6 linked regions of the Rattus norvegicus genome follow. The main gene of each other region encodes a partner of the protein of the gene in region 2 in a complex. Links are inferred from orthologs where the notes say so. Each region holds a gene or a part of one and is shown on either strand. Other genes may lie near its edges.

Region 1 (4,091 bases), on a different chromosome or scaffold from region 2:
TACACCACTGCCAGGAACCGGTCAATGCTTATGACTGTCATGAGCATGATGGAGGCGTACATGTTACAATAAAACGCTGCGGTGGCGAAGCGACACATTCCGGACCCGAACTGCCAATCGGTGCCGGAGAAGTAGTAGCTGATCTTGAAGGGGAGCACGGACACGAAGAGGACATCGGCCATGGCCAGGTGCAGCATGTACACCACGGCCGGCTTCTTGACCTTCATCCGAAAGACAAACACAGCGATGGCCAGGATGTTCAGGGGAAGGCTGACTATGAACACAAACGTGTACACGGAGGGTATGAAGAGCGTCAGCCAGGGGCTGGTCAGATATCCGGAGGCGTCCTCGGAGATGAAGGGAGGAGGCGGCATGGGAGGAAAACGGCTTTTATTTAAGTAGACTGCCCTGCCCTCGAGCGGTATGCTTTCATTTTTCTCCTCCTCATCCCCTAGGGGGAACTGTTCAAATGTATCTTCACTGGGATTCCTGAGAAAAAATGAGCGGGGGTTTGGCGTAGCATACGGCGTAGCATACATCCTCTCAGATTCTGAAGGAAGAAAATCGAGAGCGTGAGTGACATAAACGGGCAACCCCGGACAAGCAGAGGTGCGCTATGTCTGTTTTCTGTAATTTTCCCGGGGAGCAGATGGCTAGGTTTAGATCTTGCACAGATGGACTACGGACTTGTTAGAGACTACGCACCTAGGTTGGAATATTGCACAACATTTTGTTCTCTGCTGCTCCAGAGAACGAATGGGAGCGAAAGGTCACTCCAGAGATCTTGCAAACCTCACTCACCATGAAAGATCGAAGACGCTTTGCTTCACATTTTATTTATTTTATTTTGTGTGGTAGGAGAGAGCAGGCATAGCACAGGATGGAGGGGAGCTGGTCCTCTCCTTCTGTCATGTGGACCCAGGGGATTGAACTCTGGCTGGCAGGCTTCTTGACAAGTGTCTTTTTCTGCTGAGCCACCTTGCCAGCCCTCAAACCATGCATTCTCCCCCCCACCATTGTACCCCACCATCTGTCTGCACAGGTCGTCTCCAGCTTCTACGACTTCTCTTTCCTTCCCCAGCTAGCTTGAGCCATCCTGAGAAACCCACCTCTCCCGAAGGAAAAAAAATCCACAAAATAGAAAGCAGAGAGTTAATTCTACAGGCCACAGAATAGGGGGCCATTCAGAGTAGGACCCAGAGCTCCCCAAATCTTCAGTTTGCTTACAAAGTAGGATGTCATGATGGCTTAGCTATCTAGGTGCAGAGGCCCTCAAGTTACATCTTCACAAGGCCAGGAGGCACCGATCCCCCTCGGCCAGCATCTTGCCTCTTTGCCTAGCAAGTCAGTCTAGGAGCACATGTGCTTGGCCATGACCTTATTCTAGAATGCTATATGCCTCAAGGTGCATGCCTGGTCAACCAGGCTCTCTGGAGTATCAACCAGATGTCATTATCTACACCTCCTTCCATCAAAACTATCCACTTGAAATGTCAGTCAGAGAAAAATTAATGGCACCAGTCAGACAGCAGGCTTTGGGGAACAAACAGCTTCGCTAAAAATCCTACATTTGTTGCATGCTGGGAAGCTGAGGTGTGCAAATAGGAACCACAGGGGGAATGCAAAGTCCCTGATACTGGGGGTGCTTGTGGCAAAGGCTGGCTATGCCTCTCTCTCAGAGATGTTGCCAGAGTTAAACCTTGGAAACTGGACAAGTGCAGTGGGTTTCCAGATTTTTTTTTTTTTTTCTTTTTGGTGTGGAAACTTTCAGAGAGGCTCTCAAATCTGTAATGCAATGAATGATGAGTTCAGCTGTGTAGCATCCCCGAGACAATCCTCTTAAAATAGAACTTTAGGCTCTGCTGTGTTTCCGTGTTACTCCCCACCAATGGCTGAAGGTACTCAGGGTCACAGGACAGTAGAAGGCACAGGTAGGAAGGGTAGGTCTTAGAGGATAGGATGACAGACTTTTTTTTCCCTTCCCGATGATTTTTAATTTGAGAGAGATCCAAAGCCAGTGTCTATGATACCCAGGAATACGTTCCTGACCTCTGTGCAGTTCCCGGCACATAGATAAGATTCTTGGAATCTCTAGGATAAGAGCATCTTTTGTATGCCAATGAGCTGACTGGTGGTTCAAGGCCTCTAGATAGCTTCAGAATCAGGGCTGATCACATGAAAGCCTGAGGCATGACTGGCAGGAGGGCAGGGCAGCTTTCCCACCTGGCCATTCATTCATTAGCATCTTCCGTAATACCATTTCTGATGGATGGGAAGCATAGGTGCTTCTCTGGGTTCCTTGAGCTAGCTGCTCTAGCAGACTAGAATCTGAGTAGAAGTCAGGGGAACCCTTAGTACATAGCCTGTCTGAGTCTGGAGGTCGAGGCTTAGGTATCTTTTTCTGGAGACAGACAGTCTTGTGGGCTGAGCTCTCAAATGTAGATGGTGTCTGAATTGAATGAAATGAGAAGACACATGACTGGTGTCCACTGGAGAATCTGCCCGAGGACAGACAGTGTGGTGTGAGGGGAAAGAGCCTTGGTCCCTCAGGGCTCACAGCACTTGGGGAGATGTTACACAGACCGTAGGGAACACACTTTGCTGCTCTGTTCTCAGAGCTAAGGTGGGCAGTGGGTAGGAAACCGAAAGGCAGTTTCAGGGACAAGACACCACATCCTTTGTCTTTGCTGCAGGCCGCAAATGCCTGAAGTGTTTGGGGCGCCTGCCCCTGCTCTGGACTCTCGTCCCCTTCCCTCTTTCCCAGATGCCTGGAAGCTGACGAGAAGTTGTGACTGAGCCTCCATAGCAAAGCATCGCCCACTGCCTCTGGTGAAGAGCTTTGGGGGTGACCTCTGAGTTCACACAGTGGCAGTGGGTTTTACCCATTATACAATGTTGGTAGTGATCTGGTAGTCTCTGGGTCTTGTGCACTCGGTGCTGTCTTGATTTCTTCTCTTTACAGCTGATCTATACTCAGATCCTGCCTCGGTCTAATAGGTCAGGTCCCTTATCCTCTTCCAAGGTCTGAAGGTCATTACGAATGGAGATCCTACGACCTTGTAAGTCCTAACCCCAGCCCATCTCCTAAATGATCTTCAATCTTGAATGGGGAATAATAGGAATTAGTCACCTAGGAAGCCACTTATAATGGACCCCTCTCTTATAATCTATTTTGGACCCCATCTCCTTTTTCCTGGCTAACACTAGAGAGGGAAACACACCAATTGCCCCCCTCCCCTGCCCCCAACCCAAGACTTATAACACCCAATAAAAAGGTGCAGGTGTCAGGGCTTTCTTAAAGTCCACTAAGGGAAAGGGCATTCGGGTGGTATGGAATTTGAGTTCTGCCTCAGGCCTTGAGTGGAGATGACACTGTGATCTGCTTCTAAAATGAGATCACCTACTATTGTCTCCCCATGAAGAGTTAATCCATCTGGCCCTATCAGTGACCAGGAAGGCCAGGGTACCACTTCCCAGGAAAGCTGCAAGGCATGGCCAAGGAGATGGGCAGAATAATTATATCTCTGTGTGATGAGGTTCTTACCCTTCCTAGAAGCCCAACCTGGTGCAGCCATTGACGGAGTTCCTGCTGTGCAGGGATGCAGTCACTGAGAGCTTCTACCACTTACCGGGGAGAGCTCCACTACAGGGCACCAACATTCACTGAACTTCCGCTACGGAGAGACGCAGGTGTTTAGAGCGCCAGCCAGCAGGCAGCATCACCCGCATCACTGAACCTGCCTGCTTTTCTGAGTTCTAACTCAAATTCACCCTCTCTCCCCAATAACAGCAAAAGGTCTAAGCATGTTTTCTCTGGCACTCTGGCTATTCTCAGTCTCCAAAGTTTACTGCATTCCCTAAACCCAATCAAATTAGTACAAAGGAGGAGGTCACAATACATAGCTGGTTGGTCATAAGTTCCACAGTCACTGGGAAAGAATTTCAGGAAGGAGGAAAAAAAGTCTCAGGAAAGGAATCTCAAAATCTGCTCTAGGCTTTTTTTTTCCTTTTTTTTTCCCTTTTTTCTTTTTTTCTTTTTTTAAGACAGGGTTATATTTTGTAACCTTGGCTGCCTTGGAACTTACTGTGCA
Region 2 (4,785 bases):
CTTAGGGCCTTTGCACACAGTTTCCACACTTGGAATTCTCCCAGGTTTGTTCACTAGCTCAGCCCACAAGGCCAGGTAAACAGCACTTCTGAGAAGCCATCTCGGATTGACAAGCCAGCTGCTCTTCCTGCTCTCTCCTGCCTTTCCAGGAATCCCTACGGTATTTCTGTTATCCTGAGCTTGTGAGTTCTTTAAAACCCAGCATTTTTCTATGCTCTTAATACCCCCAGCACCTGTTTGGCGGCTCCTCCTATAACTCTGGCTCTCAGCGAGCAGAAGTACAAGAGGGTTCAAGGCCAGTTCATATGCATTTAGACGCTATCTACATAAAGATATCCCCGTGCTGGAGAGAAGGCTCAGTGGTTAAGAGCGCTGGCTGCTCTTCCAGAGGACCAGAGTTTGATTCCCAGCACCCACAGGGTAGCACACAAGGCCTCTAAGTTCAGTCCCATGGGATCTAATGCCCTTTTCTGGCCTCTGCAGATCTAGACACATAAGTGGTATACAGATGTACATCAGGCAAACACCCACTCATATTACAATAAAACGACAAGTATTGGTGTGGTGGTTTATGCCCTTAGTCCCAGCATTCAGGAGGCAGAGGCAGAGGCAGAGGCAGAGGCAGAGGCAGGTAGAGCTCTGTGAGTTTCAGGCCAGCCTGGTCTACACAGCAAGTTATAAGACAACCAAGGCTAAATAGAAAAATCTAGTCTTTAAAAAAAAAATCACCATCTTAAGGAAATAAAAAATTTAGAAAGAAGTGGAACCATGAGCTGAGCACAGTGGTGCAGGTGTGTGGCTCCACATTCAGATGCAGATGGGAGGGTGGGGGGTTAGGAGTTCAAAGCCAGCCTAGGCTACCAGAGACCCTGACTCAAGGATGGAAGGAAGGAAGGAAGAAAAGGAGGAAGGAAAGGAGGAAGGAAACTATAGCCCTTAAGGAGTTCCCTGTCCATAGTAAAGCCTATCATTAGAATAAAGGTATATTCAGAATGCTTCAGAGGGAGGCTGTCCCTAAGACTCAGAGAAGTCCCTGGGGAGGACAGGGTTTTCAGTGGAGATTGTTGACTGCTCTGGAGAAAGTAACAAAGTAAGCAAGGATTGAGACATCTTGACATGTTTACTGGTCCACTTCTGGGGGGAGGGGGCGTCTAGAATAGGAAGTCAAGGCCTGAGAGGCAAAGTTTTCCTAGCTAAGAGCTTGTGAGTAATGGGGAGTTGTCAGATGTCCAGGAGAATGAACCTGGCCATCGGAGGCACATGCCTGGACTCCCAGCCCTGGGCAGGTAGAAATGGGAGGGTCATCCTCAGCACCTAGCAAGTTTAAAGCCACCCTGGGCTGTTGGAGTCCCTGTCTCGAAAACAAAACAAAAACGTTTTTAGAGAGTGAATTAACAAGACCGAGCTCTGACACATGGTGAACAGAAGTGCAGTAGGGCCCTGAGATTAATCATCCATTCATTCCTCCAACAGTCTGGCTAAGTGCCAGACACAAGGCCACATGCAAAGGCATCCTTGACCAAGGATGAAGAGGCACTGTCAGGCACTGAAGATACCACTTGAGCCAAGGCTCCTGACCAGTCAGCAATTCTTTTCTCCCAGGCTTCCCCAGCACCCACCCACCCACGCAGAGTCTGTTCCCCACCTTCTAGACAGTCCATGAAGGTCTCTCGAGGTTTCCTCACTGAATCACACACTGAAAACAAAAAGCAGAAATTCACTTGGTATCGCTGTGGGGACAGGGTGGGAACAGGTGATGGAGGCAGGGATGTGGGAGGGCAGAGTGGGTGCGGGGCGTGCTTTATGCAGCACCAAGTTCTGAAGGAGAGGGCATTCTCTGGCTGGAGTACCCCCTTCCCCAGCCTCCCCTCCTTGGGCAAACCTTGCTGGCCACTCACCTGTGTACTTGGCCCAGAACACATCCTGCAAAGCAAGGGTTGGGGGTGAGGCCATGGCAGGATGGAGTTCTACTCTACACTACGTCCGTTCCTTACCACCTGAGCCCAGCTTTAGTCTCCTACGTTGGCTTCCAAAAGGAGAGAGTATGTTTTTTTGTTTGTTTTTTTCCCGCTCCGGAGCTGAGGACAAACCCAGGGCCTTTCGCTGAGCTAAATCCCCAACCCGTGAGAGAGTATGTGAAGAGAGAAAGAGGCCCCAGCACACTTGACTGAACAAGATCTCCTCCAGGCTGGAGGAGACAAAAGAGCTCACTACACCCTCCCCCAACCCCCGAAGGGAATGGAACAGAGCCCCAGAGCCAGTGGGTACACAAGGGAACACAAAGATGGCGGAAAGGCTTAAGCAAGAAAGACACCAGACAACCCAGACAGCCGCAGTATACTGGGGGCTGACGCTGATGAGCTTTCCTCATGTCATGACAACCCAGGCCTACAGTCCCAAAGACAGATTTTGGGTGCCCATCTTGCAGCTCAAGGAGACAGGGGTCCGAATGGAAGTGAAAGTCTGAAACGGGAAACAACCCGGATGCTTCCTACTCCTGTCACTTGTGATTCTGCACTCCTCTGCTGAGGAAGCCCAGGCCTTGCCTACCTGCCCTGCCTCTTAGCAGCCACTGTTGTGGGGCTCACCGTGTCTTGGGGAGACTCCAGGGCCTCAAAAGCCTCCTCATAGCTGCACTGCTCTTCCACGCACTCACGCTCCAGGTTGCCCTTTCGGAGCTCCTCCAGGAAGCCGCTGTTGGCTCTGCGGACCCGCTGGAGCAGCGACAGTGCTTGCTGAGGGGCCAGGAACACTGCAGCAGGGGGCAGGGGCATGGGAATCGCCTCTGGAAGCCTGGCTATCTTAACCATTAGGGGTAGGAAGCTGGCAGCTCTGCTAGCTTCCAAGAGGGGACAGAGGGGATGAGGAAAGTACCCAGAAGGCCACTGAACAGTCTGTGAGTCGTCTGCCTTTCATTGGTTGCCCTAGCCCACTCCCCAGAAGCGATGCCTTTCTCCCTGCACCACACACGACGACATCTCTAAGCTGGACACTCTGATCTGAGGTCCACCTGGGGCTGTCCCTGTGTTCTCTGATCTTAGGCAGGGAAACCCCAGCCCTCAGGCCTTTCCCACATCCTCTATTCTGCCCGAGGCCTCCAAGTGCCCCTTACCATGCTGACTGTGTACCAGGCTAGCCAGGGCAGCCAGAGCCAGGCAGCCAGGTAGGCCCAGGCCGCGGACGTGCGACATAGTGTGTCAGCTCCTGGGATCTGAGGGATTGTCCTGACTCTCTCTGGGTTAATATTGAACCAATGTGAAGAAATCAGTGGCAAGGGAGAGGTCAGCAGATCAGGGCCTTGGGGACAAATGTCCACCCCTGACATTCAAGAGGACAGTTTCTCCTGGAACCAGGGGTGGATGTTCTTGGGGAGAAAAGTCATATAGAGAAGACCATCATCCAACACCTTACATTTATTATGTGAGTAAATGTAAATCAGTGAGTCCTTCTGGGGGCTCCTCCTCATCCCAACAACAGGGATGGTGCAAAACTCTTCACAACCACGCACTGCAGTTTTCTTATCTGTGCAGCGGGCATAACGCTTTGTGTTGAGAACTAATCGAGCATACCAATGCAGAGCACACGAAACACGGGGCCTACTGATCAACAGATGTGTGCACAGATATAAGGAATAGAGAGAGGCGTGGCCAGGCAAAAGCTCTCTCATTATGAGACAAGGTAGCTCTCAGCCAGGAGGTGGCTCCTCTTTCTTCTCCTCTAAGGGTGTTGTGGGTGCTGTGAATAGAGGCTGCCGGGGAGGAGCCAAGTCCAGGAACATGTGGCCTCTAGCTGTCTTCTTCAATCTTTTGCCCCAGAACGGGTACTGGCCCAAGTCTCTGGGTCTCCCTGACACAGCTCCTTCCCTCACAACCTGTCTGCACTGCACCAGTCTCTTAAGGCTCCTGGTTCTACACAGCAGCTCTAGCCTTGCTTCTCACCCTCCCCCATTTCCTGTTTACAAGGTAAATATTAGTCCAGGGTCTAAATAGAACAGAGGGACAAAGAGCAGGTACACCCACACCCGGGAGCAGGGACTCCTGCTTTGCCTTAACTTCATCAGGGCTGACAGAGGTCATGTACAGTCCGGGAAACAGCTGGCAGAGGGCTAGGCACTGGGAAGCCCACAGTATAATTTCTGAGTGGCCCACATACACATATATGAAACATATCACATATATTATAGTTTTCTTTTTTGATTATGTGTATATGTCTATGTGTGGGTAATGCATGTGAGGCTGGTACCCAAGGAAGCCAGAGGTCAGATCCCTAGAGCTGGAGCTCAGGCAGTTATGAGCCACCCAGTGTGGGTGCCAGGAGTCAAATTTGGATCCTTTGCAAAAGCAGTCAGTGCTTTTAACCACTGAGCCATCTCTCCAGCTACATTTTAAAAAATAACTTTTTTGTTTTTTGAAAGAGAGTTTCCCTGTGTAGCCCTGGCTCTCTTGGAACTCACTCTGTAGATCAGGCTGGTCTGGAACTCAGAGATCCACCTGCCCCTGCCTCTTTTTTTTTTTAAAGATCTTATTTATTTATTATATGTATGTAGGTGAGGACACTGTCGCTGCTTTCAGATACAACGAAAGAGGACATCGGATCTCACTACAGATGGTTGTGAGCCAACATGTGCTTGCTGGGAATTGAACTCAGGACTTCTGGAAGAATAGTCAGTTCTCTTAATCTCTGAGCCACCCCTCCAGCCCATGCCCCTGCCTCTTGAGCACTGAGACTAAAGGTGTGTGCCATCACTGCCTGGCTAAAAAAAATAATTAAAAAAAAAAACCCTAT
Region 3 (4,015 bases), on a different chromosome or scaffold from region 2:
AAAGAGAAGTCTGTTTTGTGCCTGTGACCATTTCTTGGTTTAGAATATCTGTTGCCAGTCTATATTCATTAAGGGTTGCTGGCTCCTAATAAAGTATTCAGACCTGTTTGACCTGAAGACAGTTAGGGACTAGCTTTGCAGATGCTCTATTTGAAATTCTGCCACGATTTTAACCTATCATGAGATGTAGCCTTCCTTTGCAGCTACTAAGAGATGGCAGTGGTTTGAGCCAGGAATATAGATAAATATTAACTACTCTCACACAGATTGCATGGGACCAGGGTTCAGTCCCTAGCTCTAAAATGTAGGGATTGAGGGATGGTAGATAATGACTAGATTTGAACCAGGTTGGTTAAACCAGGTCCCTGGTCTCACACGCCTGCCTTGCTTGCCGTAGAGTGCCAGGACACTCAGAACTGCTCACGCTTGGGGAGCAGCTGTTGTCAATCTTTGTCCTTAGGGCCTATCCCCTACAATGTGGCTAAAATTAGCATTCCCAGCTTTGTTTTTTGTTTGTTTTGATTTGATTTTTTAGAGACAAGGTTTCTCAACAGCCTTGACTGTCCTGGAACTGGCTCTTTAGACCAGGCTGGTTGAACTTGTAGAGATCAGCCTTCTTCTACTTCCCAAGCACTGGGATTAAAGGCGTGGTATTTCCACCTCCTGGCCCTAACATGGTTTTATTTCTGAGGGACTTTTTAAAAAGACATTGAGCATCTCAGGCCAGCTGAAAATCTTGTATCCCAAGGCTGACCTTAAGTTTCTGACCCTTTTACCTATACCTCCTCAGTTGTAGAACTGTATCACCGTAACTATTCTGTACAGTGCTGGGGTGAGACAGGGCTCTCAGCGCTAGCAGGGCGCTCTCCTAGCTATATCTACAGCTGGCTGCGGGGCTTCAGAAGTGCTTATTTTGGAAAAAGACTCACAGGTTTTCTGATTCTGAATATGCCTGAGCCTCCTCAGCACTGTGCTGAGACCGGTGCTGCATAATGTGCACATGTGGAACAGTTTCTAGGAACAGTACCTAATGTATGCAGCTACAACCAGAGCCATTTCAAGACAGAATCAGCATGGGTGTCACTGACAGTAAACGGGCTAGAGAGGGGGCTCAGCACTCAGTACTTCCTACTTTTCAGAGGAACAAGAGTTCAGGTCCCAGCCCTCCAGGTAGGTGGCTCAGCCATCTGTAACTCCAGTTCCAAGGGGTTTTGACACTCGTCTGGCAATCTGCACACATGTGGTGCACACTTGAACAGACAAGTGCATATTCACAAATAAAAAGAAAATACATCTCTCTAAAAAGAAAGGGAGGACAGAAGCAACTTAATGGAAGTGTTTTTATGATTACAATTAAAAGTACCCTTGGCTAAAACAGCAATTAGTAACAGTAATATTAAAGAAGAAGAAAAGCCAACTTCAGTTAATGTGTGCTCAAGGGGACTAGTCTGAGCCCAGTGGTAAAGCTATTCTTCGTCTTATCCTGGAACTGCAGACACAGACACATTCCGGTTGGGCTCGGGTGGCTTGGGAGGGTAAGCATCAGCAAAAGCCATGAGCCATAGTTCATTATTCTATATCCAAAAGCCATGAGCCATAGTTCATTATTCTATATCCAAAAGCCATAAGCCATAGTTTCATTATTCTCTTCTTAGAGGAAGGGAAAAATATAAAGTTATTTTATGCACTGAAAATTAGAGATCTGACAGGTAAATCTTTCTATTTTGCTCATCAGTTTCATAAAACAATTAAGGCATTTAAAGACACCTGTAACTTGTGTTTGCATTCAAGTTACTGTCTTTGAATTGAAGTGCTGTGCTTTTTTTTTTTTTTTAAGATTTTATTTTATTGTATGAGTACACTGTAGCTGCCTTCAGACACACCAGAAGAGAGCATCAGATTTCATTACAGATGGTTGTGAGCCACCATGTGGTTGCTGGGATTTGAACTCAGGACCTCAGGAAGAGCAGTCAGTGCTCTTAACCACTGAGCCATCTCTCCAGCCCGAAGTGCTGTGCTTTTAAAGTAAATCATCCAAGCTGTATTTTCAGGGAACACCATATAGTGTATTCTTGAGAGTTGCATGGATTGAGTTGGCCTTTTTGTATGTGTGTCATAGAGAACTCCATCTCCTGCCATGATGTCTCCAGATTCACACAGAGCAAGCAAGAAGGGGGGGAAACATGGAAACCTTTTTATGTTACAATCTTACAGAAGAATTGAAAGAATAGAATAGCAGTGCAGCCGCTGTGTCTCCTTTGTGTGTGTGTGTGGTGTGATATGTGCATATGTGTGTACATGTATATGTGTCTACATATGTACATTGTTTCTGAGCCTTTGAGGTTAGAACTCTTACATTCCTCCGACCTTTAATAGTGATGCTTAGGGAAACTTCCTGAGAACAGGAATATTGTCATACTTAAGCACTAGACAGTCATCTAAGTGCCCTGAGGTGATGGATACCCAGCGCTACCCATGCTGGAATTTCAGCCTTGTGCTACCATGCCAGTCTCCAGTTTAAAGTATCAAAGGTACAATACTCTTGTCTCTTAAAATTCAAGTTCCAGTTTTGTCAGTTATGCCAATATTAATATTAAACTAAATATTAAACTAAGTTTTAAAAAATATTAAATTAAAATTTAAAATTAATGATATATTCTTTTTCTCAATTTGTACTTTAATAAAGGAACCAATTATCTAGCTTTAAATATTAACAAAAATTTATAATTGGCAAAAAATGTTAGTAACCAAACTTACCTCTGTGCCTCTGAGCAGTGGCGTGGCAGAGATGAGACCAGAGGGGCCACCAGCAGTTTTCAGGGTGAACTTTGGTGCTGAGCTGTTGTGTGTTTTCCAAAGCAAATATGTCCTAATTCAAACACTACTCAAGTAGCTTTGTCAGCAGAACCCTTTCAGCTCTCTTTGATCACTTCTTGGGGACAAACTACTTCCAAACGCCAGTTCTTCTGTGTGGCTGTGATTTGGAATGTCACTATCTTTATCAGCATGTCTGCCCCATCTTGTTCAGGATATCTTGTAAAGTTAAGCATAACTGAGGCACTGTGCATCGTTCTGGGTGCCATATCTGCTGGGCCCCCCTTGTGAGAAGGCCGCTGGCACACTGTGGGTGGAGTCTCCTTAAGCTCATGGAAAGCTTATTCCCCATTGAAAAATGAAGGGGCAAGTTAAGGTTGGTGACTTAGCAAATGCATAAATTGGTGTACATCTTTTGGGTTGTACCTTTTGAGTTGTGTGTTTGTTTTCAAGGTGGGTTTCTCTGTGTAGCCCTGGCTGTCCTGGCTGTCACTGTGTAGACTAGCCTGGCTTTGAACTCACAGAGATCTACCTGTCTCTGCCTCCTGAGTGTTGAAATTAAAGATATGTACCACTACGTCTTGTCCTCAAAAATTTTTTTTTCTTTTTTTTTTTTTTTTCAGAGCTGGGGACCAAACCCAGGGCCTTGCGCTTGCTAGGCAAGTGCTCTACCACTGAGCTAAATCCCCAACCCCTCAAAAACTTTTAAAATGTGTTTCTACTGTCATTCTTCAGCACATAATTACCAAATTAATATATCTTTGGATTATATTGTACTAAATTGTGTCTGTGTGTGTGTGTGTGTGTGTGTGAGAGAGAGAGAGAGAGAGGGGGGGGGGAGTGTGTGTGTGAGAGAGAGAGAGAGAGTGTGTGTGTGTGAGTTAGAGTTGGGGGAGAGAGAGAGTGAGAGAGAGAGGTGGGGAGAGAGAGAGATGGGTGGGGGAAAGAGAGAGAGATGGGTGGGGGAGAGAGAGAGAGATAGGGGGAGAGAGAGAGAGAGATGGGGGGAGAGAGAAAGAGAGAAAGAGAGAGAGTGTGTTAACTCCACATAGGTCTCTACCAGGAGCAGCATCAAGTTGCTCAGAGAGACTCCAGTCTACTTAGGGACTGCTTTGAGTGTCAGTTGTGGCAGACTCTGAGCCCTTGTGAGAATCCCTTGGTACTTAAATGCTGTTTCTTTTTGGTGCATCTTCCCTGCAGA
Region 4 (4,642 bases), on a different chromosome or scaffold from region 2:
TCTATCTACACACATCCTGAGCACTTGCTGAGTGTTAAACTACACTTTGGACACAGGGATGCCCTGAGCTGTAGTCTCCATCTCTGTCTCTCTCTGCCTCTCTCTCTCTCTCTCTCTCTCTCTCTCTCTCTCTCTCTCTCTCTCTCTCGACATACTGTGAAGAGGGAGAGAAGAAAAACAGCAAGAAGCAAATAGGGAAGAAAACAAATCAAATCATAATGAGGTTTATGAAAAAAGGGGGGGGAGGAAGTGACTTCAACTCGAAGTGACTTCAACTCCGTAGTCAAAGAAGGCTTCCCAAAGGAAGTAAGGTCTGACTGTGACCTGAGAGGGCAGTCTCTCAGGAGCATTTGGGACAGAGGGAAGAAGAAAAGTATATGGAATTTGTAAACTGTCATGACTGTACAGCAAAGGGAGGCGCACGAGGGTGTCTTTTTTGTAGATTGCATTTCCTTGTTTAGGGGACAAACCTTCCATAGCATTTGTCCCTACAAAAGAAACTGTGAAACACACACACACACACACACACACACACACACACACACACACACACACACACACAGGGTGGAGGAGTGTCTGGCATGGATATAGCCGTGTCAGTGTGGCTGCACAGTGGTCTGAGTTGCTCTAGCAGTGGGTGCAATTTATTTCACAGCCCTAGGGAGATTTTTTTTTTCTTCGCTGGGAACAAACATGGGGCCTGATGGGGAGGGCGTTGCAACAAAGGCAACAGAAACTACCATGAAAGTCCATACAAACCTAACCTGAGCAGAGGACAGAAGAGTGCAGAAAGGGACACCCAGGCGACAGACCATGGGACAGAACAGCCATCTGTTGCTGGCCTCAGGTCTGCAGCAGTTTCCTACTGATAAGGTCTCATGGGCTAAAGGTATAGGTTCAAAACACCTGGATCTCCGGAGCTCTGAGAATACTTCATGATGTCACCACAAGCAAGGGGTCAGTTTCCTGCATGTCCTTGCCTGTCATGTGCCTAGGACTCCCACCGCTCATCCACTAAGCAGGAATAAGTTGGCTCTGGGGCACCTGGAAGGGAGGACCTGTTCTAGCCCTCCAGGTCCTGGCTCCGTTATTCCCATCACCTGCAGGACTGCACACTGTCGACCCCCTCCCTATCCCCAGACGACGCGTCCTGCGTCTCAGGGGCACACCACTGGCTTCGGTGTCGCCCACTCCTCTCCACTCCCCATACGCTCATCCGGACGACCCACGTGCAGCTCTACCCCGGGTTGGCGCCGCACCTCGAGCCCGGCGCGTCTGGCCGGCGCTTTCTGGGGACCCGACCTCCACCGCCCCAGCGAGAGGGCAGCATCCGGCGACCGCGGGTCCGGCCGGGGGGCGTCCTTAAGTCCCCTGCGGTGCAGAGACCTTGCGGCCGGCTGCCACACAAAGGCGGCGGCGGGAAGGCGGGGCGGGGCGGGCCGGGGGGCGGGGGAGGCAGGAAGGGGCGGGGGCGGCGGCGGTGATAAAGCCCCCGCGCTGCCTGGCCGGCTAGTGCAGTGGTTGCACCGGAGCGCGGGCTGCAAGCGTCACCACCGCCTGTCCCCCACCGCCGCGCCGACCTCCTTCCCGGCTCCGGCCGCCACCTGGGGATCCAAGCGAGGACGGGTGAGTACTGGCTGCCGGATCCCGGCCGCTCGGAAAGGAGCCAGGAACTGTCCCCCGGGCAGCGCCGCGACCGGTGCTGGGGCGGGAACTTTCTCGAGCCGCCACGGCCCCCGCTGCGAGCGCTCCTAGCTCCCGCGTCCCTGTCCCCGAGGGCTCGGGCGTCCAGGTGTGCCCCAGGCTGGCGGATCGCTCGCCGAGCTCGGTGTAGCTACAGTGGGTTCAGCAGGGCTGCAAAACGTGACCCTGAACCGGAGGCGTCTGGGCACTCACGGGTAGCACCGACCCCATACTTTGCTTGTGCGCGGCTCCCTGTCCCGGGCGACCGGCTCTTACTTGTAACCTTTCCCTGAGCAGTGCGGAGGTGGGCAGCGGTTTGGGAAAAGGCTTCAGTTCACACTGGCCTTTGCAACAGGCTTATCCCTAGGATGCAGCCCCAGTTCATTGCTATTTCTTATTTATTTTCATCATCTGTAGACCAGGGAATTGAGAGGCCGCCGAGTGACTCCAGGAAAGGTGAAAGTACTCAGAAATCCTAGGCGGAATTAGGTATTTAATTTGCCCCCACAATGAGCCGAGAGGGGAAGCTGCTCTTACATAAGACAGCACTCCACCTTCAGGTATTAGGGAAGGTACTGTTGAGGATTTTTAGTGTTTGAATGAACAAAACAGAATCTCCGCGTGTCTCTCTTGAGAAATCTCCAAACGCGGCTGGATCTTGCTTTGACTACTTTGCAGAGAACGTTCTTATATTTAGCACGAACATAAAAAGGTGTTTGAAGGTTTAACTTTCTCTTTCAAGCCAGGAGGCAGTTTACTTTTCTGAACTGTTCTAGAACAATTGATCTGATAATGTTGTACTTTGGAGATCTCGTACCTGAATGGGAATACAGATAACTGGGAGAAATGTCAGCATCACCGATTTGTGCATCAGACGCACACTTAAAAACTGAAGGCGCTTTCAACACTTTCTGAGGCTCTAAAACAATAATTATACCCTGTCGGCAACATTTAAGCAAAAATATTCTCAAGAGCTATGCCACCGATGATGGCTCCATTAACCATGGAGTTTTAGCTGTTTTTCAGAGTAGTGTTTGGAAATTTTGTTCAGCTAAGGGTGACTCCTGAAGGTCATGAGCCCATGCCATCCTCCTTCTTCTTCTTCTTCTTCTTCTTCTTCTTCTTCTTCTTCTTCTTCTTCTTCTTCTTCTTCTTCTTCTTCTTCTTCTTCTTCTCCTCCTCCTCCTCCTCCTCCTCCTCCTCCTCCTCCTCCTCCTCCTCCTCCTCCTCCTCCTCCTCCTCCTCCTCCTCCTCCTCCTCCTTTGAAAGAATCTATGCAGAAATTTTCTCCCATGAACTTGACAAATTAGCACAATAAGACAGAAATTGCCGCGTCTGCAAAGGATGCTGATTTTCAGCTGCACACGGAGGTGACTTGACAGTGGTCAGAGATGGGTTGAGATGGAAAAGTTGGAAGGCTCCCGGTCCCCCTCCATGGCACTGCCTTCTCTTCTAGCCAGCTCTTCTCCCACATGGTTCAGAACTTTGGCCATTTTCCCCTCTTGTGGTTGTGATGCCACAGGCTCTTGATTCTGTGGCCGTGTCAGGTCCAGCGGTTTACACACACTCAGATTACTCAGTCCTCTCAGCACGGTTCAAGACCTGCCCTCACCTGGGGGTGCTAGGTTTCTAATGTTAGAAGCACCTGCTGGGTGTAGTGATACATACTCTCAAAATCCCAGCGTCTGGGAGGCTAGAGCAGAAGGACGGCTGTGACCCTATCTACATAGTGAGCCCCAGATCAGCCAAGGCTATATAGACAGACAGACAGACAGACAGACACACACACACACACACACACACACACACACACCCCAACACCAACACCAACTCCAGGCTCCTCCCCCTCCCCCAGGCTCTTCCATTGTAGGGTTTTTCTGGTGCCTTCCGTGCTTCAGGTTCTACAGGTGACCTAATGACCTATGTTCCTGAGAAAATAAAGGCCACCAGGCTTATTCCATGGGTCACCTCTGGGCCACCCCGTAAGCATTTCCATATTTACCCATTCATCTGCTCCGTCTCCCCAGACCTGTGTGTGCCTTAAATTATTTGGTGGGGGGGGGCACTTTTCACCTTTGCTAAATATAGCAACTCCTGTCTTCCTGAGATCATCATTCTTACGGTGGGAAAAACGGACAGAAATCACATCTATGGTAAATACTCTGGTGTGTAAAAGGCCGGGAAAATAATCAAGTTGAACTGGGAATTTGTAGATGAAAGCGAAGGCTCCCGGTGCCGGTGACTAATGTCCCCAGCTGTATCATGAATCCCAGCTGTCCCTCTGCTCAGGAATCTTACTCCTCTCTCTTGCCTTCTGTTCATTCTCTCACCTGGACCCCGATTTCAGATGTAATTTTGCATTGCTCTAACCTCCCTTGACCTGGCATTTCTACCTTATCCCCAGGGATCACTAGATTGCTCCATGCTTCTTAAACTATTTCCTACTTCCCCGGTCTCCCTTGTCCTCAGCCCCTGCCAGTTTCCCCAGAACAGAAGAACCTACAATTTCCTGCATGAGCCGTCTCCTGGGTGCTCAGCTGGCCTCCATTTGACTCCAGGCATTTTCTTCCGTGCCTTTCTATAGCTCTCTTCCCTTCTGGTTTTCCTTCCCAGTGCTCCTCCTCTCCCTGGTTAGACTATCTGTGGAGTCTTTGGCTGAACCAGGTTCCCCAGGTTCACCTATCACCAGTACCAAGTGAGTCAGTCCCAGGTTACCATCTGAGCTAAGAGCATTCTCCTACATTTCAATTGGTTACCAGCCTTGAGGTCTTTCTGTGTCGGCTTCTTGTATGCAGGTATGCATATATGTGTTTGCATGCACGTGGAGGCTAGAGAACAACCCCAAGCAACATTCCTCAGACACTGTCCATCTGCTTGGTTTTGTTTTTGTTGAGATAAGGTTCCTCACTAGCTGGGAGCTCCATAAGCAGCCGAGATTGCTCAGTGAGCCCGAGGGGAT
Region 5 (4,665 bases), on a different chromosome or scaffold from region 2:
GGATGAGATGGGGATGGGATGGGGTGGGATGGGATTGGATGAGATGGATGATGGGATGGGAGGGGTAGGGTGGGCTGGTGTATGATGGGTTAGAGTGAGATGGGGTCTAATGGGAGGGCTGGGGCAGGATAGTGTGTGATGGGATAGGGTAATATGGGGTGAGAAGAGACAGGATGGTAACTTCTGAAATTAGATGCTCAGGAGCTTATAAACTCACCTCAGACAACTTAATATTGGTGTGGTCAGTAAGGCCAGACAAGTCAGCATGGGTGGTGAAGATGTCCTGGATGCCCAGCTTGGGGAGGATTTTTTCCAGTTTATAGGTACCCTCAATGGAGAACTTGGGGAGGTAAAGATCTAACTGTCTGGAGAGAGAAGGAGGTCCCTTCTTAGATACCATGAGCTTGCTGACAAGTCCTTAGCACCCACTCTCTGTGGCCTCACAGACTTTCTGGAACCTTCATCTCTGAAGCGTCCCTTGCTTCATATTTAGACTTAGGCTGCTGTTTTGCCTTCTTGCTCTAGCTCTGTCCTCTCCTTCCTGCTCCTCCTTCTCTCCCCATTCCCCCCCCTCCAGTGCTCATGGCCATCTCTACTCTCTCTCTCTCTCTCTCTCTCTCTCTGCCTTTCTCTGTCTCTACTACCCTCTTAACTCCTCTCCCCATGCCCTTATTAAACTCTATTCTCTACTATAAAAAATCACTTAGGCTTCTGGTGTCACCTTAGAACCCCAGCTTTCTGCATCTTATCCCTCAAGCTGGGCCAGGTCCTGGGCTGAAGACTTCATGGGAAGCCTTTAGGTTTGGGGCTATCTCACTGCCTGAGGAGTCCTTCCCACCGGTACTATGAGGTCCTGGAGTGTGTCTCCCCTGACATGGGTAGAAGGCCGTGCCCCCAAAATGGCCCAGAGAGTACCTCTTTGTGAACATCTTAAGCCAGTTCCTCAACGTTCTCTCATCCAGGCCATCCTCTACCCGCTTCATCTTGCCCTCGCTGGGAAGAATAAACAGAGCAAATGTATTGCCTTGGTAAGGGATCCCCACCACCGTGCAGGAAATGTTTTGGTCGAGGATGTAGGAATATATATCTTCGCGGTTCATCATTGGCACCTGAATGGTCTTCTTGGGAGTCACATGGTAATCCATCTTGTGGGTGTTGGTGCTACTGAAGGCCGTCTGCCACTTGGCTAAAGATGAACAAGGGGTAGGAGTAAAAGAGAACTGGGTAAAAATGAGACCCTTGGCTGTGACTGAAGAGTGGAGACAATCCAAAGAGTGTCTCTACAGAGCAACCTCAGCAACAGCAGTACCCATAACTCAGAGGCCAAATCCCCTCATAACTCTGGGGTATCCTGAACCTTTAATGTGCCTGTCCTCCTGTCCTCCTAAACTCTTGCTGTGGTGGTTTGAATGAGAATGCCCACCCCCCACAGTCTCATATGTTTGAATGCTTTATCTCTGGTTGGTTGAATTGTTTTAGGAAGGATTAAGAGGTGTGACCTCGTCAGCACATATTGGTATGACTTTGAGAGTGGGCTTGGAGGTTTCAAAAACCCACACCAGCACCCCTTCCCTCTCTGCTGAGTGTTTGTGGATCATACGTAAGCTCTCAGCTACTATTCCAGCACCATGCCTATCTGTGTGCTACCATGCTTCCTACTGTGACGGTCGTAGACTCTGAAATGGTAAACCAGCCCCAATAAAGTGGTCCTTTAAAAAAAAAATCTGTCCTGACCATTGTGTCTTGGCATGGTAACAGACATTTGCTTTCAGTAGTCTTTGACCCCCTCCTGTTTCCTGCCCTCTTAATCCTGATCAGGTCCTTATCCTGTTTCTAGTGGCTTTGACAGTTAGGGTTGTTTTGTCATGATGGCTATGACAAGGACCAGCTCCTGACTGTTGGATCACCGACAGACTAATAAGGATGCTCTGTCTTACATGGGGCTGCCTTCCTTCCACCCAGCTGGCACCTGGGTGAGTTGCTCTTTTATCAGGGAGGGAATGCTATCTTATGATAAAAAATAAAAATAAAAACAGAAAAGAGAAAAGACAGAAAGTTCAAGTTGGAGCCTAAGGCTTACCTTTGAAGAAGATATAATTTACCACCACCATGACGTGGGTGCTGTCAAGATCCTTGATCAAGTCTACAATCTTGCCGTTGGTCTTCTTGGCTACATAGTCATTGATCTGCTTCTTAGCACTTTCAGGGTTCCCAAAGTTGGTAGAGAACATGTCTGACATGTACAATGTCTTCATGGCACTCAGAAAGTGGTCCCGGATATGTACTGCTGGGTCTGTAAAAAGGGCACTGCCTAGGCTCAGCTGGAGGCCATCACTAGGCTGGCTGAACTGCTGCAGCAGCTGTTGGAAGCCCTTGTGGAGCATATCCTCTTGGCCTTGCTGGAGGCTGAGGCCCAGGCCCTCCAGGATCTGTGCCTTAGTCTTCAAGCCTGACCCCAGGGAGAGCATACCCAAGCTCATAGACACGCTCATGGGGGAGAAGAAAACATTCTGACCAGGGGCTTCAGAAGCCAAGGCCCTGTAGAGCCTGAAGGCAAAGTCTCTGCTTCGGGAAGTCCCCACAGCACCCACAGAGGACTCTTTAGACTTCTTCTTCTCCTTAGAATGGGAGCGTTGGCGGGAAGCCACCCCGTGACTGAAGAACAGCACCAGGCACAGAATGGGGAAGAACCTCATTGTGGCTGCCATTCTGAGTGGGAGAAGAGGAAAATGTTCTTAAGAGAGAACAGCTGTGGGTCAAAGTGAGAGAGACAATAAGTAGGCTGACATCTGCAAAGATGTCCCCTTTTATCCTCCAAGAGGATAAGAAGGAAGCTAGGCCATGGGGCTGCAAAGATCAACATGCAATGGAGTTACAAGAGGGGAGAGAGAGAGAGAGAGAGAGAGAGAGAGAGAGAGAGAGAATATCACCATTTTCCCCCCATAACGTCTTAAGTTTAGGATTTTGCATTGTGCCTCATTCATAGGGTTCCTTGGCTGCAGATTGCCTAGGGGCTATGTTCCACCCACCCACATCCTTAAGGCCATCGGTCCTACCTCGGCAGGTGTACTCACTCTGTATTGTGGTGGCTGAGTGTCTTGATGGGTAGCAATCCACCTGGCTTATGAGAAGAGAGAGGACAGAGTGAATTATAGCTGGCAAATGTCATGGATCACAGAGACTCTGTCTCCACCCCATTCCAACTCTGCCCCACTGGGAGCTGGGCTAATCTAAGGCTTTCTCAGGGCCCCTGATAAAAAGACAAAATGAACCTACTTCTGTTTCTTTGTCTAAGAATGTGCCTGTCAATACCAGTCTGAGACTGAGGCTGGAGCCTTGAAAGTATTAAGATTTCTGTTCCTGGGACTTGGCTCTTTCCCCTGAAGAGATGGCATTATCAATCCCAAGGCCTCTGTGTGCTCAGTCTGTAATGTTCTTGAGATAACCTGTTTTCCTTCTGCAACATTGTTGATTAGTTTCCCTCTGACTTTGTCCCATTGTATGATAGTTTCTGCTGACTCTATCTCCTCTTCTCCCCAGTCCTAGTATATAAGATACTATACTTTTAAAAGACACTTGCTTGGTATAAGACATAGGTGTGCAAGCAAGACTTCCTGATCCTAAACTGTATCGTCTCTATCTTTTGTTCTCTTTATCTTCTGATCCCCTGATCCTTTCCCTCAGGGCATTGTTACTTTTAAAGAAAAAATAAAATAAATGACCGAACCATCCAAGTCAAGTAGTACCTGAAGAGGGACACCTGAATATGAGAAAGAGAGTGAAGTATGGCCATAATTCATAGAGAAATTTAAAAATAAAATTGTTCCCAGAAAGACCACCTGGAGGAAGGAGTAGAAACTTCAGGAGTAAAATAAGGGATAGGAAAGTCATCTTCTTAACATAATATTGTTATTATTTGGGAATTTGACATAATGTATCCCATCCTCCTTACTTCCCAGCACCCCAAGCCCACTCCCCACCTCTTGTGCCCCCCCAAAAAGATTTAAGAAACCAGTTTGTGTTGTTTATATACTCACTGGAGCATGGTCAGACTCCTGGTGGCCAGGCCGTTAAAGATGAGCGAACCCCTCCCATCTCTATGCCCACCAGGAGCCATCTACTGTGGAAAGCCTCTATATCCTTATCCTAACAAAAACCTGCTTGGTTTTGCCAGATTCTCCCCACTACAGCATAGGTGTAAGGGTTGGGGATGAGGGCCTTTGTGAGCTGTGTATGGGAGGTGTGTGTGTGTGTGTGTGTGTGTGTGTGTGTGTGTATACACAGTCAAAACTTACAGCCACTGCTGCACAGATTTCAGAACCCAGGTTCAGACAACATGCCCAGGCTCCTAGACACAACAGTCCTTCATTGACCTACCTTTGCCTGAAGAGATGATTGCTATAAAACCTCTTTCCCAGTCAATTTTACATTAAAAAATAAATAAAAAGGAGATTTATCTACATGACATTAAAAAGTCTCATGATATTTAAAAAATAGAAAATGTTATAAAAATAAAGCTATTTTACATGTTATTAAAAAATAAAATATCATAAAGATAAAAGATACAGTATTAAAATATGAAATACCTGAGATGAAAATATTTTAATGAAAATTTATATATACAGAAATAAATTATGTTAATAAATAATGATTTACATAAAGATT
Region 6 (4,639 bases), about 58 Mb from region 2:
GAGTGGGGTAGGGTGGGGGTTAGGATTTTGCAATTCTAGCCAGATCCCAAGGGAGGTCCCAATTCTTGTGTATAGGCCAGGGCTAGTAGATCTCTCTGAAGTACAAGATATCGTTCCAGAGTTTCATTAAAGCAAAGTCCCATCTAGTCACCCCCCAGACTCCTTTCCCAAGTTGCCATATCTCCCTAAGCAGCACATTGCTTTTATTTTGGGACTACAAATGGCAAACACAGTGGAGAGTCAGCCAGGCACGAAGCATACAGCTCAAGCTTTACTGGAAGATGCTTCCATCCATCCGTCTCAGATATGTCCAGGCTAAGGACCACATACATTCTTGGATAGCTATGAATGTGGCCCAATATGTCTGAAGATGGCAATGTCCTATTGGAATGTCAAAGGGTTGGACAAAGGATCCTCTGCACATTTGAAACACTGTCAAAAATTAATAACACTGTAGAAGCCGGCATAAAAAGTTTAATAATTATTACCTCTTTTGTCATTCTAAATAAAAAAAAAACAACAGCAACAATCATAAAACCCAGGCTCACCCTTTCAAAAACAAAGATTAAAAAAAATCAAAACCCTACTTCCTTGAGTTTAAATTCTGTGATATTCCAGCACTATTAACTAGTTAGTGTTCAGTTGAAACATTTTAACTTTTGTTTAAATTCTTTTGCTCTGGTTACCTGAAATCCCCGATTAAATTGCCAAAGCTAGCGAAAAAAAATATTTTTCTGCGTTTAGTGTTTTTTTTTTTTCTGTTTCACATAAGAGTTTGGAGACAAGGGTAAAGGCAAACTATGATCAGGTTCGGGGAGGAGAATGATGGAGAGGGGGAGGGGAGGGAAAGGAATGGAGGGACACAGAAAAGGGTGAGGGACTGGAGACTTACAAGCAGAATAAAGCTGAAGGGAAGAAAATACTAAATACTTTTAAAAAAATAAATATCTGGGTCATCTCCAGTCCATAGGGTCAAGGTTTGCCTCCAAGCCTACAGATCAGCAGCACCCACACATCCTGCACCCCGAGGTGAGGGACTGGGACACTCTGGGATCTTCACTGTATTTGTCACCTCCGCCCAGTTGTCCAGTCTCTACTTGGAAGAAACTGGGCTCTCCGGCTTCAAGTCCTCCCTACCCTCGCTTGTCATAAGAGGATGAGCTCTTCTCTGGTTATTATACCAGCCAGAATGCTTTTACATTGCCAGAGAGCACAGCTGGGAGGCTGAAGAGAGAGAAAGGAGAGGTACAGAGCCCGGAAAGACAAAGGCCACCTTGGTCTCTGGAGTAAATCCCTCAGAACTTCTGCAGCGTCCGATCAGTCCTCACGTGCTGCAGTACTACCTCCTTGGCTGAAGAGGTACACTTGTACTCCAGCTCTGCGCGAGCAGTGCCCTGCTTCTTGCGCAGGTGACAAAGAAGCGCCAAAAGCGCCACCACCAGGGACAGGCTGGCAATGGAGATCCCAATGAGCACACCAGAGTGCATTGGTCTTGCAGAAGGGGGAACTGTCGAAGAGACTACCGTCGGATTGCTTGATGGGTGCTCCCCAGAGCCACCATCCTCTGAGTCCTCCAGAACAGGGATGGGGTCACAGTCCTTGCTAATCTGACCAGCAAGGGCTGTGTCAGGTCCGCAGATGCACTCATAGGAGCCAGGAAGGTTTCGACATTCATTGGTGAGGCATTCGCCTTGACTGCACTCATCAATGTCTGTGCATATGGAACCCTCGTCCAGGATGAAGCCCTCAGGGCATTGACAAAAGCTTGGGGAGTTGGGGTCACAGTCTGCTGGGCACGAAGTTTCATTGCAGAACATTTCGCACCTGTCGGGATCATCCAGCTTAGGTGCGAAGCCCTCAGCACAGATGCAATTGTAGTGCGTGGAGTTTACTGGCTGGCACTGATACTCGCATTTAGATCTGAAGCACGGATCCAGTTGCTCCACGCACTCTCCGTCCACCAACTCATAGCCATCATAGCAGCGGCATTCGAAGCCGCCCTCGGTGTTAGAACAGAGCTGAGGGCATGGATTGGGCCCCTGCTTACAGTCATCCACGTCCTCACACCGATGTCCGTCTGCCGCCAACTGGTAGCCTGTTTCGCACATACAGGAATAAGAGCCTGGCACATCAGAGTTGTTGACGCAAAAATGCTGGCAGAGTTCGTTGCACAATTGAGCCACAGGTTTTGCGCACGAACGGCCATCAGCCTGCAGGTCCCCGCCGCTGGGGCAGACGCATCTGGGTCCGTTAGCGCTCCTGTTGCACATGTACTCGCAGCCACCATTCTCCACGCTGCAGTTCCAAGCTCCTGTCACTTCCCGAGTCCAGTGTCCCTCTGAAGTTCCGGGCAGGGCCCTGCACACCAGCTCCAAGCCAAAGGGCGCCACGGTAGCAGAACTGCCTATCGGCAGCGTCTGAAAATCCGCGCCGCTGACCCCCAATGGGGTATTGTAGGTGCTAGAGATGTGGGCACCCTCAGGATCTCGGGTATTCACCCGTAAAGGCCTGCAGAAAGCTGCGAAGTAAAACTCGCAGAGAAAACCCTTGGTCTCGTTCTCGCACGGCTTCTCTTCCCAGGCCGGCTCGCCTGGTGCAGCTTCTGTTGCTGTTGAGACCGTGACGCACAGCGGACCGCAAAGTGGAGGCGACTGGTCGTTGGGCCGCGCCCACCTGCTGTAACTGGTGTGGTTATCCCCAGTAACCCACTGGAAGCCGCGCAGGGGCCCGAGATGCACCGGGTCACCACAGCCCTGAGGGAGCTGTAAACCGATCCAGGGCCGTGAGTCCATACTACTGTCGCTCACCAGAAGGGAGATGACATCCGCAGCCACCGAGGAGCGCACTGTCATCAAATGTCCCTGCAGGCGCTGGCAGGCCTGGCTGGCATCGAGGAAGGTCACGGGGTCCTGGAAAAGCGCGAAGCACTCATTCCCCACGCATTGACTGCCTTTGGGCTGCAGCTTGGCTAGTGCAGAGATCCCCAGGCCAGCTGGAGCCAGCACACCCAGAAGGAAAACCCCAAGCATGCTGTTCAGGAGAACACCGTGCAAGCTACGAGAAAACGCTAGCACTGCGATGGTGCAGGCACCCAGTCCCGGCAGAGGGTTTCGTACGTCTGCGGCGACAGCAGTTAGCCTCTGTCTCAGCCTAGACTTTTCTAGCCCAGGTTCGTAGTCCCTGCGAGGCAGCCTCTGACATGCCACTCAGCTGAGGCTCCAGTTTATAAATGCGCGGCCCTCCCTCTCTGGAGGTTCGGGAAAAGGAAGGAAGTGCCTAGTGGGAAGGGCTGATGCTGCGTTCTCGGATTACTGGGTTCTCCGGACGCCTTGTGCCCGCCCTCCAGCCTGGGATCACCTCTGTGCGAAGAGTTAAAAACACTGTCTGGGCGTAGGGAGGCCCTAGGGCGTGGCCTGCAGGCGCCACCACAGAACTGAATTGTGTCAGCAAGTCGACAGTTCCCGTCCCAGACTCTCCGGTATAGCCCACGGGTAGCCTGTCTTTAAACCTCTACACACGTACACAAGCAAACGCACACGTACACACACACACTTCCCTATAGATGCTACCAGAGTTTGGAGGATGGCCTGGTAGTTGGGGCAGGGGGGAAAAAAAGGAAGAGTCTGGTAGAGGGTGTGTCTGAGACTTGCAAGACTCTGAGAAGGATTAGCTAGATCCCTGATGGGAGCTCAGGAAGCCTGGCTGCTGTGACTAGCAGAGGGGTTGGGTCCCAAATGACCTTAGAAGAGGCCGGGAAATTATACTAGGGCAGCAAGAGGATGGAGTGGTCTAATAACCTCAAAGCCTTCTCCATTCTTCTCCATTCTGACATCTGGACAGCAATCCCCTGATCTTGGGCAGGCATCGCCAAGGCCAGACCCTATCTAGTTGCTTGAGAATGTCGTGCAAGTGTTGTATGGGTTCAGAGATCAGGGCCCCCTTTCCCACTTGAATTCCTCCAGAATTCTCTGGGAAAGGTGTGTTGCGTTCCTTTGTTCTGGTTTTGTTCTGTTTCGTTTTCCTCCAAACCTATCTCAAACCCCTTAGTGAAACTGGCCCGGGACCACAGCAAGGAGGTGATATGAGCTACAATGGATTCTACTTGGTTCCTTTGGAGGTGATCACTTCCATTGTCATTTGAGAGTCTCAAAAGATAGAGATGCCTACAGTCCATTTGCTCACAATCGGCACTGAAGAGGAGGGTCCTGTGGGCAGCTGGGAGGGGCGGATGGAAATCTGTCACTTAATGACTTATCCGCTTAAGCACTCACCAAGAATGGGGAGGGCTGTGTCCAAATCAAAGCTTAGCCACCTCGTCCCCACCTCCCTCATCTTCCCTACTCGCGCCCTACACCCCGCGGCTGTCACTTCCACCCAACTGCCAGGAGGCGGTGCTGTTGAACTCTAGACCAATCCAAGGACAGTGGTGCATTACTATAACTGCTACTGAGAAGTGTGGGCTGCCTGGAGCCTAGCCTGAGGTTAGGAAATTCGTCTGTGGGAAGCCCTGCGTAGTTCCCACGACTTACTAATAAATAGCTTCTCTGATCCAGTACAGCTCAGACTTTAGATGAGAACAGAAGGCTGTGATGTCCTCGTGTGGAGAAAACATACACGGATGGACCTGTGGCCAAGAGGG

Evidence for each region.
Region 1: the proteins of F2 (region 2) and F2r are in contact, whole or in part, in a crystal structure (PDB 3LU9), measured with the Homo sapiens proteins. The link is inferred for Rattus norvegicus from reciprocal best matches to the Homo sapiens genes F2 and F2R. Residues at the interface, in NP_000497.1 of Homo sapiens: Phe382, Arg383, Pro386, Gln387, Glu388, Leu389, Leu390, Cys391, His406, Cys407, Tyr410, Trp413, Lys415, Leu423, Arg425, Arg431, Thr432, Arg433, Tyr434, Ile441, Met443, Glu457, Asn458, Leu459, Asn506, Thr510, Lys517, Gly518, Gln519, Arg541; in NP_001983.2 of Homo sapiens: Ala33, Thr34, Asn35, Thr37, Leu38, Asp39, Pro40, Arg41, Ser42, Phe43, Leu44, Leu45, Arg46, Asn47, Pro48, Asp50, Lys51, Tyr52, Glu53, Pro54, Phe55, Trp56.
Region 3: the proteins of F2 (region 2) and Serpind1 are in contact, whole or in part, in a crystal structure (PDB 1JMO), measured with the Homo sapiens proteins. The link is inferred for Rattus norvegicus from reciprocal best matches to the Homo sapiens genes F2 and SERPIND1. Residues at the interface, in NP_000497.1 of Homo sapiens: Lys384, Ser385, Pro386, Gln387, Leu389, Leu390, Cys391, His406, Cys407, Tyr410, Pro412, Trp413, Asp414, Lys415, Leu423, Arg425, Ser430, Thr432, Arg433, Tyr434, Lys440, Ile441, Ser442, Met443, Asn458, Leu459, Lys470, Trp511, Ala513, Asn514; in NP_000176.2 of Homo sapiens: Glu75, Asp76, Asp77, Asp78, Tyr79, Leu80, Leu82, Ile85, Phe86, Asp89, Asp91, Val305, Glu306, Met307, Thr308, His309, Gln327, Asp343, His361, Lys362, Arg388, Thr457, Val458, Gly459, Phe460, Met461, Pro462, Leu463, Ser464, Thr465.
Region 4: the proteins of F2 (region 2) and Serpine2 are in contact, whole or in part, in a crystal structure (PDB 4DY7), measured with the Homo sapiens proteins. The link is inferred for Rattus norvegicus from reciprocal best matches to the Homo sapiens genes F2 and SERPINE2. Residues at the interface, in NP_000497.1 of Homo sapiens: His406, Tyr410, Pro412, Trp413, Trp455, Arg456, Glu457, Asn458, Leu459, Glu509, Thr510, Ile542, Asp562, Ala563, Cys564, Glu565, Trp590, Gly591, Glu592, Gly593, Cys594; in NP_006207.1 of Homo sapiens: Val225, Arg288, Ser355, Ala356, Thr358, Thr359, Ala360, Leu362, Ile363, Ala364, Arg365, Ser366, Ser367.
Region 5: the proteins of F2 (region 2) and Serpina5 are in contact, whole or in part, in a crystal structure (PDB 3B9F), measured with the Homo sapiens proteins. The link is inferred for Rattus norvegicus from reciprocal best matches to the Homo sapiens genes F2 and SERPINA5. Residues at the interface, in NP_000497.1 of Homo sapiens: Arg383, Pro386, Glu388, Leu389, Leu390, Cys391, His406, Cys407, Tyr410, Pro412, Trp413, Asp414, Lys415, Trp455, Glu457, Asn458, Leu459, Asn506, Arg541, Ile542, Asp562, Ala563, Cys564, Glu565, Gly566, Asp567, Val588, Ser589, Trp590, Gly591; in NP_000615.3 of Homo sapiens: Gln241, Lys295, Lys296, Arg297, Thr368, Ile369, Phe370, Thr371, Phe372, Arg373, Ser374, Ala375, Arg376, Leu377, Asn378.
Region 6: the proteins of F2 (region 2) and Thbd are in contact, whole or in part, in a crystal structure (PDB 1DX5), measured with the Homo sapiens proteins. The link is inferred for Rattus norvegicus from reciprocal best matches to the Homo sapiens genes F2 and THBD. Residues at the interface, in NP_000497.1 of Homo sapiens: Phe382, Ser385, Pro386, Gln387, Leu423, Arg425, Thr432, Arg433, Tyr434, Arg436, Asn437, Glu439, Lys440, Ile441, Met443, Lys470; in NP_000352.1 of Homo sapiens: Ser424, Cys425, Glu426, Cys427, Tyr431, Ile432, Leu433, Asp434, Asp435, Thr440, Asp441, Ile442, Asp443, Glu446, Asn447, Gly449, Phe450, Asp479.

Annotation. Positions count from the first base shown.
Region 1 is NC_086020.1:28,606,786-28,610,876, forward strand, and holds part of F2r (proteinase-activated receptor 1 precursor), read right to left. Parts: intron 551-4,091; coding exon 1-550. UniProt on the Homo sapiens protein: High affinity receptor that binds the activated thrombin, leading to calcium release from intracellular stores.
Region 2 is NC_086021.1:98,062,041-98,066,825, forward strand, and holds the start of F2 (prothrombin precursor), read right to left. Parts: upstream 3,207-4,785; 5' UTR 3,192-3,206; coding exon 3,113-3,191; intron 2,753-3,112; coding exon 2,589-2,752; intron 1,924-2,588; coding exon 1,899-1,923; intron 1,697-1,898; coding exon 1,646-1,696; intron 1-1,645. UniProt on the Homo sapiens protein: Thrombin, which cleaves bonds after Arg and Lys, converts fibrinogen to fibrin and activates factors V, VII, VIII, XIII, and, in complex with thrombomodulin, protein C. Functions in blood homeostasis, inflammation and wound healing.
Region 3 is NC_086029.1:97,176,956-97,180,970, forward strand, and holds the start of Serpind1 (heparin cofactor 2 precursor), read right to left. Parts: upstream 2,801-4,015; 5' UTR 2,758-2,800; intron 1-2,757. UniProt on the Homo sapiens protein: Thrombin inhibitor activated by the glycosaminoglycans, heparin or dermatan sulfate. In the presence of the latter, HC-II becomes the predominant thrombin inhibitor in place of antithrombin III (AT-III).
Region 4 is NC_086027.1:88,634,085-88,638,726, reverse strand, and holds the start of Serpine2 (glia-derived nexin precursor), read left to right. Parts: upstream 1-1,524; 5' UTR 1,525-1,626; intron 1,627-4,642. UniProt on the Homo sapiens protein: Serine protease inhibitor with activity toward thrombin, trypsin, and urokinase. Promotes neurite extension by inhibiting thrombin. Binds heparin.
Region 5 is NC_086024.1:128,786,593-128,791,257, reverse strand, and holds the start of Serpina5 (plasma serine protease inhibitor), read right to left. Parts: upstream 3,178-4,665; 5' UTR 3,170-3,177; coding exon 3,075-3,169; exon of another isoform or gene 3,057-3,074; intron 2,750-3,056; exon of another isoform or gene 2,710-2,749; coding exon 2,081-2,709; intron 1,187-2,080; coding exon 916-1,186; intron 366-915; coding exon 218-365; intron 1-217. UniProt on the Homo sapiens protein: Heparin-dependent serine protease inhibitor acting in body fluids and secretions. Inactivates serine proteases by binding irreversibly to their serine activation site. Involved in the regulation of intravascular and extravascular proteolytic activities.
Region 6 is NC_086021.1:156,316,997-156,321,635, forward strand, and holds the start of Thbd (thrombomodulin precursor), read right to left. Parts: upstream 3,183-4,639; 5' UTR 3,030-3,182; coding exon 1,296-3,029; 3' UTR 1-1,295. UniProt on the Homo sapiens protein: Endothelial cell receptor that plays a critical role in regulating several physiological processes including hemostasis, coagulation, fibrinolysis, inflammation, and angiogenesis.